Linked DNA regions of Saccharomyces cerevisiae S288C. The gene in region 3 interacts genetically with the main gene of each other region. Each region holds a gene or a part of one and is shown on either strand. Other genes may lie near its edges. The genes, in order: BOL2, DSF2 and MTC5.

What was found.
Region 1: mutations in MTC5 (region 3) and BOL2 together harm fitness more than expected from each alone (negative genetic interaction), as found in Saccharomyces cerevisiae (one large-scale study listed by BioGRID).
Region 2: mutations in MTC5 (region 3) and DSF2 together harm fitness more than expected from each alone (negative genetic interaction), as found in Saccharomyces cerevisiae (2 studies listed by BioGRID).

The regions. Positions count from the first base shown.
Region 1 is NC_001139.9:80,214-83,236, forward strand, and holds BOL2 (Bol2p), read left to right. Parts: upstream 1-2,160; coding exon 2,161-2,523; downstream 2,524-3,023. Other genes in the region: Golgi transport complex subunit COG1, read right to left, coding at 1-152; EDC1 (Edc1p), read right to left, coding at 446-973; NIF3 (uncharacterized protein), read right to left, coding at 1,213-2,079; ERMES complex subunit MDM34, read right to left, coding at 2,665-3,023. UniProt on the Saccharomyces cerevisiae protein: Involved in the regulation of the iron regulon in response to decreased mitochondrial iron-sulfur cluster synthesis. May be involved in mitochondrial organization and biogenesis.
Region 2 is NC_001134.8:249,284-253,043, forward strand, and holds the start of DSF2 (Dsf2p), read right to left. Parts: upstream 1,734-3,760; coding exon 1-1,733. Other genes in the region: FLR1 (Flr1p), read right to left, coding at 3,280-3,760.
Region 3 is NC_001136.10:707,473-711,232, forward strand, and holds the start of MTC5 (Mtc5p), read left to right. Parts: upstream 1-2,076; coding exon 2,077-3,760. Other genes in the region: ARO1 (pentafunctional protein ARO1p), read left to right, coding at 1-1,778. UniProt on the Saccharomyces cerevisiae protein: Component of the SEA complex which coats the vacuolar membrane and is involved in intracellular trafficking, autophagy, response to nitrogen starvation, and amino acid biogenesis. May be involved in telomere capping.

The DNA.
Region 1 (3,023 bases), on a different chromosome or scaffold from region 3:
GAATCGGTCAAGCTTAAGATCTTGTTATAGTTCTTTAGCAAATTCTTTTGGAAGGCCTCATTGGTTTTAGTCAAATCGTTCTGTAACTCCAATTGATAATCTTTAATCTGTGGAATATGAGAATCGCGAAACAATGGTAAGACTTCATCCATTTTCTATCGTATTGGTTTTTTTTAGGTTTTCTACCACAAGATTTGTTGTACGAATGTGTTATTTATTATTCACCGCCATGTTTCATTTTTCTTCAGCATAATGATGAACTGTAACAGAAAATAGGAAAAAAAAATTGTCATCTGAGAAATTGCTTTGGATGACCAGATCCAAAACAGACATAAGCATTCGTATAATTGGTACATAGGTATATATCAAATAAAAATATGCATTATTCTAAAAAAAAAAAAAAAAAAAAAAAAAAAAAAATCAAAAATGTCTCTCTAAAGGGTGATTATAAAAAACTTGGTTTGGGCAAGTTTTTAGCCTCCCTTGGACCATTAGTGGCGAAAGTGGAGCCTGCATAAGAGTGACTGAGTTTTTTGGCACTGCCATTACAACCCATTGGTATTATCCCTTGAGAGCCATGCGGGGATTGTTTCTGGTTCAGAAGCAGATTCTTTAGGTTCTGACTCAGTAAACGAGTATCATCTTTGTTGTTCTGTCGTGGCGTTTCTTTATTATTCTGTCTGTTTTTTTTACCTAAAGTAGTTGTAGAGGAAGGGGAAGAAGGTGGAGAGTGCTTCTTTTGATTAAATGATGGTTTCTTGTTGGAAGAATGGCCGAAGTTAGGTTTCTGACCGTTAGGAAGAGTTTGAGGAGGTGGTATATCTGTGATATAGTTGTTATTATTGGCGTTCTTAGCAGCATTTCCCCTCGCACGATTATTTCTAGTTTTTTGTTTGATTAGATTATTTGTCTTGTTCCTGCCAGCCGATGGCAACAGCCTGGAGCTGTTGAAATACATGGTATCCGTCGACATGCCTTGTAATATTTGTGTGAGTATATTTGTGTGCTAAGTGTAATTACGTTACGCTTTGCTGAGTACTTCGTCTTCAATACAGAGTATGTTATTGTCCTTGTTATTTGAAGACTTTTACCTTTTCTATCCGTATTTCTCTATCCGATACAACAACATCATTTTACACGAACAGCCGGATGATAAAACTGTAGTACGTATGGTATTTGTGATATCCTATATAGCCATATAATTACTAGCAGCTATGCAACAGTCAAAGGATCGCAATCCATTTTGCTTACGACTACTTCGTGGCCCTCATCTTGCAACAAGCCCTTCATAACGTCTTGAAGGAATCCACGCTCAGTATTTGAGTGGTTGCAAACAATAACGGTCTTGCCCATTTCTTTCCACTTCAGTACTTCATGATGTGACATTTCTCCCGTATAGTAAAGGTCTACGTCCTCTTTTAGTTGCTTAAACACGCCAGAACCGCTCCCGGCACAGACAGCGACTTTTTTGATTTTGAGTTGATTCCATGCGGATGGAGCAGCAAGAGATGCTACTTGTACATAGGGAACCCGTAAAACACGCTTGACATTTTTGACAATTTGCTCCAAAGAGATGTCTTTATTGAATTCTACGAATCTACCGTAGCCAATCAAGTCGTCAGTTTCGCCACTTACAGTTTCCAAGGCATAAGACTTTGCGACGTTCTCTCCGTTGTTCAAACCCCTAACCAACCAGTCATTTACACCGCCACGAGCGGCATCTACGGCAGTGTGAGGGCAGTATACGGATATTCCGTACTGGATTAGCTTTATAGCTGTCTCGTGTTGTGGGTTTGTATGTGGGCTTAATCTGTTCCAGCTTGGGAAAATAAAAGGATGGTAAGCAACAATTACGTTGCAGTTAGCATCCACAGCTTCTTGAGCAACTGACTTCGTGAGGTCTACAGTCAAAAGGACCTTTGTTTTAGCGTTTGCATCGGCAGTGGTGACTTGTGCAGTGGAACAATCGATGAGAAGACCCGTATTGTCCCAGCTCTTGTCTGCGTACTTTTGAGGGTAGAACTTGGTAATGCTACGCACAAGTTTGTCCAATTGTGCTCTAGTAATAGCTCTGCTCATTGCGTTTCGGTGGACTCTTGTTCTGTTTCCTTCCGACTGTGTATTGGAATAAGTTTTTCGGTGTTATATATATACATATATATGACAGGTGAAAGAATTGAAAAGGTGAAAATAAATGACGAATTTGCAAAATCACATTTCCTAACAACTCAGTGGAGAGAAACAAAGCGCCAACGACACTATAAGATGCCCGTTACTGAACAGGGACTCCGCGAGAGGATAGAATCAGCCATACCGCAAGTTTACCATATCATTGTGACGGATCTTTCGTACGGTTGTGGTCAGTCGTTTGATATTGTGGTGGTCAGCGACTTCTTTCAAGGTAAAAGCAAACTAATGAGGAGTCGTGCAGTGAACAAGGCTGTGAAAGAAGAGCTGCAGGAGATTCATGCCTTTAGCTGCAAGTGCTACACTGAGGAGGAATGGTCTAAGATTGTGGTATGAAAAGGATGATATTGTTCTATTATTAAGTTTCGAAAGGAGACGGCATTGAATCTTTTTGGCATAGACGATTTTGCTTTCTTACGTTATTTACATCGGAGAGTATGTATTTGTGTAGTTATGTACTTAGATATGTAACTTAATTTAATGATATGGTGGGGGGCTATCCTCCATGCCCCATTTCCAGTTATTTGAAGGTTCTTGCGAGTTCAAACCTATGAAGTAAAACGGTTTCTTTTTAGATGTATCTTTCTTGGAGTCCAAATTTAGCGATATTTTTTCTGGTATAACGTATTTATCCCTTATCGATACTGTTGTTTTCAAATATGGGGGAGATTGTTCTTCAAGCTCGGGTATCGGTGTTTGGACCGGTGTGGACGTAACTGTTTCAATAGCAGTACTATCATCAACAGCCTGTTCTCCTTGTGATTGTAGGTTCGATGGTGTGCGGGTCTTTTTGCATTTGATCTTTCTTCTCCTTGGTTTGGCATTGTCGTCGTTGC
Region 2 (3,760 bases), on a different chromosome or scaffold from region 3:
TTTCCGCACGCGCAGGCTTTTTTCAGTCGTTGTGCAGATTCTTCAAGTTTGCCTTGATGACGCATAGTAATTGCCTGTCCGATGTGTGAAGATTCATCATTATCATAAGGTTCTGGGTGAAATTTAAGCTTCCCGCACTTGCTTGTTGCGTTCGATCCTTCTTTTTTATGACTGAAGGAATCCATGCATTGCGTCGAATTATTGGGCAACATACCATCTAAAGAAAGTGTTCTTCTTCTAACTTTCGGGTGGTAGGGCTTATTTGATTGTTCTGTTAGTGCACTTAGTTCACCTATTTTTGAATCTTTTTCCGTTGTATGGAAATCCGAGAAAGTTCTCAAATGAGTCCTATTTGGACGTGCTTTACTGTTCTTTTTTTTATCCGTGGATGACTGAGGTGTTGATGCTGTTTTAAAATGGAAAACTGGGTTTGGAGGAAAAATATACCTAGCTAAATGTGGACTGGAATTATTAATGGTACTTGAAGTAGATGGAAGTTGAATATTCTCCCCAGAGAAGTCCAATGAATTGGTGGCAGACCGGATAGGGCTTGATCCTTCAGACTCAAGGTCTTTCTTATTTTTTGCTCTTGTCCTAGGAGATTTAAAAAGTTTTTTTAGCGAATTTAGTGACGTTTTTTTTTTATGAGCTTTATATGGTGGCGTTGGAGGTAATGAAATATCATTTGTCATGGTATTTGTTTTCGTTATCGTCGAGGTAGAGGAATTAGACCGTTTAGGAGATGGTTTGATGGGTGTTGTATCACTCTTAGTTAACTTGAGTTTGGAGAATGAGGATGATTCACTTTCAAAAGAAGACTGAGTTTTCGGCTTTGATAGTTGTCCAACTTCAGAAAAGGAGGTGTTGGTGCTTGTTGAACTTCCGTTCCGATAAAGACAATTACTCTTTTGCGTGGTTGTGAACTCATTGGGGCAACTCTGCTTCTCGGATATTCTGTCAGTTTTTGTAGATGTATTAATATTATTACTAGTAGTTCTGTTATTCTTACTATTAGCATTATTGTCAACGCTAGTATTATTGTCTGATATCAGCGTAGGATAAAGATGGTGCAGTCTAGTATTTTCAATCCTATATTTCTCGAAGTTGAAAGGATTAGGGCTATTTGTGCTTCTATTGCCATTTTCAAGGTTTGGGTACTTATAATCTTTCTCATTTCTATTCATTTGGGGTTTCATGCCACTAAAAGTCTCAGAGTCATAATCTTCTTCGACGATATAAGAGTATCTCGACTTCACGGGCAAATGCCTTTCCACTTTACCGGAAGAGTATTTGCCTCTCAAAGTGGAATCCTTTTCTTTTAAATTGTCTATGATAAGAGAACGATCTCTAGCTTGTATATATGTTGGAGAGGGATTAGTTCTATACCTTAATGAAGGGAATTCCGACGCAGGCATACATAATGTTGGACCACTTGTTTGTGACAGTTGCGAATTTCTCGACGCGTTTTCTTCTTCTAATAAAGCTTCTTGCAGAATCAGTTCATCTTCCAAGCTGAGGTCTAATTTGTCAAGAAGTCTTTCCGTGGTTTGAATAGATTCGAATGAAATGCTACTTTTATTTGAATGAGCATAGCTAAATTGTGAATCCATTGATGACTCGAAGCTATTATTGGGTGGTGGGCTTTGTGAAACCTCTGAAGAGTTAGCTTTTCTTTCTTGATCGTCGCTTCCTATTCGATCAGCCCAAGAAGTGTTTTTTAAATTTTGATTCATTACTTTTCGTGTGACGTAAAAGTCCGTTTGTTTTTCTAGATTTTCTGTTTTTTCTCGAGGCTCCTACAAGTTCCACCTATATTTAGCATTGAGGAACAGAATGTGCTATCGCAAAGAGCAATGGCAACAGAAAAAAAGAGTTGCTAAAGAAGAACTATTTTTGAATGTCCGTGGTAATACAATGGAAGACTACTAGAACACGATGGCAGATAAGGTGATTTGATAATCAAATTCAACGACGGTTGCACCGTTGTTCTTTCTGCCGCTCTTCGTCCGGAGCCTTCTGTGATAATTGTTTTAACGCGCAGAAACACACGCAGGCTGCGTAAAGGAATGGTGGGGCTCGAAGAAGTGACAGTGGGTGTCCACGGAATGTTCTGAGCGCAGGGATCCGGTGTTGCCATCGCACACGATATGAGACGCGTTCATTTTTTCCAGCAGTCACCTAAAAGTTCAAGAAACGCTATGTTGTAATGCAGCTGTATTGTACACTGGCTGGTATTGCCGTTCTGATCTATGACTTACTTGTTAGAGGTAATAGCTGTCTTAGATCGGCTTGCTTCTTCTGACTTCCTTCTTTTTTTTTTTTTTTTCGAAGTGAGGCATGCTGCAGTTTTGTGCAGCTTCTCTTGCATCACTTCCTGTATTATTTACGTTGTTTACATTATCAGGTATTTTGTATTATTTTTTGCGCAACAGCAAGCAAACGCAATAGCGATAAATGCCATAATATAATCAAAATTTAGCAAGGATACATAGCAGCAAACCCGAACCTTTAGGCCTCTCATAGATGAAGAAAATTTGTACAATTCTTTTGGTTCTTTGGCTCTTCAAATATGAATTTATTAAGAGGAAATCCTGAAGCATCAGAACATCGCAAACTTTTTATTCGCAAGAGGATTTATCCTCTGATTAGTTATATATGAATATGTGTTCCTTCTGCATGATTTTGATATCAATAGTATGCATTTTTTTTCGATTCGTCGTAGAAACATAGCTACTCTCATGACCAAATGACTCTTTTTGGCTTTGACAGTGGAACAGCCAAGTTTTTATGTAGAAATATATTATCTGTTAACTGGAAATGATGTCTTAGGCCCATAAAATGTGCTAGAACGTATGGCTAATCCTTTTGCTCTGTATTCAATTGAGTATTTTGCTTAATTTCTATTTGATAATTGAACTTCTTACGTGTATAAATGGTTGCATATTTCTTTAGTAAGTACTATTTTCAAATATGAGTGAAGGATATTGTGGCTCAAGTAATTCCTCTTTCTTTTTTCATCCGTATGGTAAGCAAAGGGTCACAAAGTAACCGATAGTGTGTAGACCTTAGATCTTCCTTCAAAGATTTCAAGTCTGCGATAAATAAACATGAGAATACTTGCAACAACAACTTTTATAAACAATGAAGTTCATTATGAACAGTATTTATTTCACTGCTAAACTTTACGTAAACTTATGTGGAACATCTTTGTCGACAGATGGACGATAAGTAAAATTGTGTTATTATAATTCAAATTTTCATGGTAAGAACATCGGCTTTCTACTCCTCTGTGTACGAAGATCTTGTACGTAATGATGGCCCATACTTATAAAGTATAAACGGGATAATAGCTAGACCTAAAGTTAGGAACCCCACTAAGGACGAACCCCATGCCACAGGATAGTTCTTAGTAGCTAAATTGTCATACATTGCTCTACCAAACAACGGAAAAGCACAGGCAAACGAAGCCCGACAAAAACCATTGCCTGCAAAAACGGATGCAACATACTTTGGGTAGCATGTAGCCAAATATGCAAAAGTTGCTTGGAAAATGTTAAAGACAGCTAAAACAAAAAAAACTTCCGAGATAACTGGCAAAATCCAATGCACTCGAGCAGTCCAACCAAATAAGAACAAAGACAGAGGCAGGCACCAGCAGACACACATTGCCACGATTAAAAAAGCTTCCGGGGTGAATGTGCCGTTTCTAAAACGTGGTACAATAATCCTCATGTTTAAAATACCGAATAAGCCATAAGCA
Region 3 (3,760 bases):
GGGATATTGAGGAGACAATTGTCTTTTTACAAAGTGATCCTTCAAGACCTGCCTATGTGGAAGAAATTCGTGAAGTTTGGAACAGAAGGGAGGGGTGGTATAAAGAATGCTCAAATTTCTCTTTCTTTGCTCCTCATTGCTCCGCAGAAGCTGAGTTCCAAGCTCTAAGAAGATCGTTTAGTAAGTACATTGCAACCATTACAGGTGTCAGAGAAATAGAAATTCCAAGCGGAAGATCTGCCTTTGTGTGTTTAACCTTTGATGACTTAACTGAACAAACTGAGAATTTGACTCCAATCTGTTATGGTTGTGAGGCTGTAGAGGTCAGAGTAGACCATTTGGCTAATTACTCTGCTGATTTCGTGAGTAAACAGTTATCTATATTGCGTAAAGCCACTGACAGTATTCCTATCATTTTTACTGTGCGAACCATGAAGCAAGGTGGCAACTTTCCTGATGAAGAGTTCAAAACCTTGAGAGAGCTATACGATATTGCCTTGAAGAATGGTGTTGAATTCCTTGACTTAGAACTAACTTTACCTACTGATATCCAATATGAGGTTATTAACAAAAGGGGCAACACCAAGATCATTGGTTCCCATCATGACTTCCAAGGATTATACTCCTGGGACGACGCTGAATGGGAAAACAGATTCAATCAAGCGTTAACTCTTGATGTGGATGTTGTAAAATTTGTGGGTACGGCTGTTAATTTCGAAGATAATTTGAGACTGGAACACTTTAGGGATACACACAAGAATAAGCCTTTAATTGCAGTTAATATGACTTCTAAAGGTAGCATTTCTCGTGTTTTGAATAATGTTTTAACACCTGTGACATCAGATTTATTGCCTAACTCCGCTGCCCCTGGCCAATTGACAGTAGCACAAATTAACAAGATGTATACATCTATGGGAGGTATCGAGCCTAAGGAACTGTTTGTTGTTGGAAAGCCAATTGGCCACTCTAGATCGCCAATTTTACATAACACTGGCTATGAAATTTTAGGTTTACCTCACAAGTTCGATAAATTTGAAACTGAATCCGCACAATTGGTGAAAGAAAAACTTTTGGACGGAAACAAGAACTTTGGCGGTGCTGCAGTCACAATTCCTCTGAAATTAGATATAATGCAGTACATGGATGAATTGACTGATGCTGCTAAAGTTATTGGTGCTGTAAACACAGTTATACCATTGGGTAACAAGAAGTTTAAGGGTGATAATACCGACTGGTTAGGTATCCGTAATGCCTTAATTAACAATGGCGTTCCCGAATATGTTGGTCATACCGCTGGTTTGGTTATCGGTGCAGGTGGCACTTCTAGAGCCGCCCTTTACGCCTTGCACAGTTTAGGTTGCAAAAAGATCTTCATAATCAACAGGACAACTTCGAAATTGAAGCCATTAATAGAGTCACTTCCATCTGAATTCAACATTATTGGAATAGAGTCCACTAAATCTATAGAAGAGATTAAGGAACACGTTGGCGTTGCTGTCAGCTGTGTACCAGCCGACAAACCATTAGATGACGAACTTTTAAGTAAGCTGGAGAGATTCCTTGTGAAAGGTGCCCATGCTGCTTTTGTACCAACCTTATTGGAAGCCGCATACAAACCAAGCGTTACTCCCGTTATGACAATTTCACAAGACAAATATCAATGGCACGTTGTCCCTGGATCACAAATGTTAGTACACCAAGGTGTAGCTCAGTTTGAAAAGTGGACAGGATTCAAGGGCCCTTTCAAGGCCATTTTTGATGCCGTTACGAAAGAGTAGACAATAATATATCTATCCTTTTTTATATTTTACAATGCTTCTATGATATCTTTACTAAGTATGAGTTGCCAAATAGTCAGTGTGACTGCTTACATACGTTGAATTTCTGTATATTTTTACTAAGTTGCAACAGTTAGATAATTACAAGTTACCCTTACATTCTGTGGGATGTAGTCGAAGAACATCTCAGAGTAGGTCATCAAAAGATGCAAATCAGCTGAGCACCCCACTTTCAAAAACATTGTAAGATATTTGAGGGAAATCGCCTCTGGCCCGTTTATTCACTGAAGAATTAATTATGTGCAGTAGTATAAATGAAGGTCCGTATAATTCGCCCACTTTTGGAAAATCATTATCGTTGAAAGTAGATGGTGGGTTCAATGCCGTATCTATCAATCCCTCTGGTAGGGATATTGTTTTGGCCAGTCGGCAAGGTCTTTATATTATCGACCTGGATGATCCGTTTACACCTCCAAGGTGGTTGCATCATATTACGCCCTGGCAAGTTGCTGATGTACAATGGTCGCCACATCCCGCAAAACCATATTGGATAGTCTCGACATCGAATCAAAAGGCAATCATATGGAACTTAGCAAAATCTTCATCAAATGCCATTGAGTTTGTACTTCATGGGCACTCAAGAGCAATTACAGATATAAACTTCAATCCGCAACATCCGGATGTTTTAGCTACCTGTTCAGTCGATACGTATGTACATGCTTGGGATATGAGAAGTCCACATAGACCATTTTATTCGACAAGTTCATGGAGATCTGCTGCTTCTCAAGTGAAGTGGAATTACAAGGATCCTAACGTCTTGGCATCTTCACATGGAAATGATATATTTGTGTGGGATTTGAGAAAAGGCTCCACTCCCCTCTGTTCTTTGAAAGGCCATGTAAGCTCCGTAAATAGCATAGATTTTAACCGGTTCAAATATTCTGAAATTATGTCGAGTTCGAACGATGGGACGGTGAAGTTTTGGGATTATTCAAAAAGTACGACAGAATCAAAGAGAACTGTAACAACAAATTTTCCAATCTGGAGAGGACGTTACCTTCCTTTTGGAGAAGGTTATTGTATTATGCCAATGGTTGGAGGCAATAACGCAGTTTATCTGATTAATCTATGCGACGATGATGACAGTGAACAAAATAAGAAGACGAAACTCCAGCCAATATATGCATTTAAAGGGCATAGTGACCGAGTAATTGACTTTCTTTGGAGATCAAGACATACGTGCGATGGGGATTACGACGATCGTGAATTTCAATTGGTTACTTGGTCCAAAGACTGCGATTTAAAACTATGGCCAATTTCTGATAGTATTTATGGGAAAGTTAACTTTGACAGAGGCAAGAGACTTGAGGAGAAACTACCAGATTATGATTATTGCTCATACAATAAGGAACCTGAAAATAGGGAAAATGTTCAAAAGAATGAGTTTAGGCGTTTACGAGAAAACTTTGTGACAACTTCTGGATTGAAGAAAAACAAGACAAACCACATAACATGGCTCTCAGGAATTAGAATGAATAGCGCAACTTCACAAGAGGATTTATTCAATGAGACAAAAATCCAAAATTTAGGAGAGGAAGTAAGCGCCATTGGTCACAAGTTCCCAAAAGTCGTTTTTGAAAAGATATCCGTGTCCACAAGGGAATTGTGCCTGACGCTTAATGGCCCCTGGTCAGAGGAAAATCCTGATGATTATATATTCTTACGAATAAGTATTAATTTCCCTCTCAACTATCCAAACAAAGGGGACCCCCCCAAATTCACAATTGAAGAGAATTCAAATTTAACCATGAGTAAGAGACAAGAAATACTTTCCAATTTAGCAACAATTGGTCAAAAGTATACTGACTCAAATCTTTACTGCCTGGAGCCATGTATACGATTTGTTTTAGGTGAGAAGGTTAGCCTGGAGGACATCGAAGAAGGGCAAGAACCCTTATTAAATTTTGATATTGCAGATCACA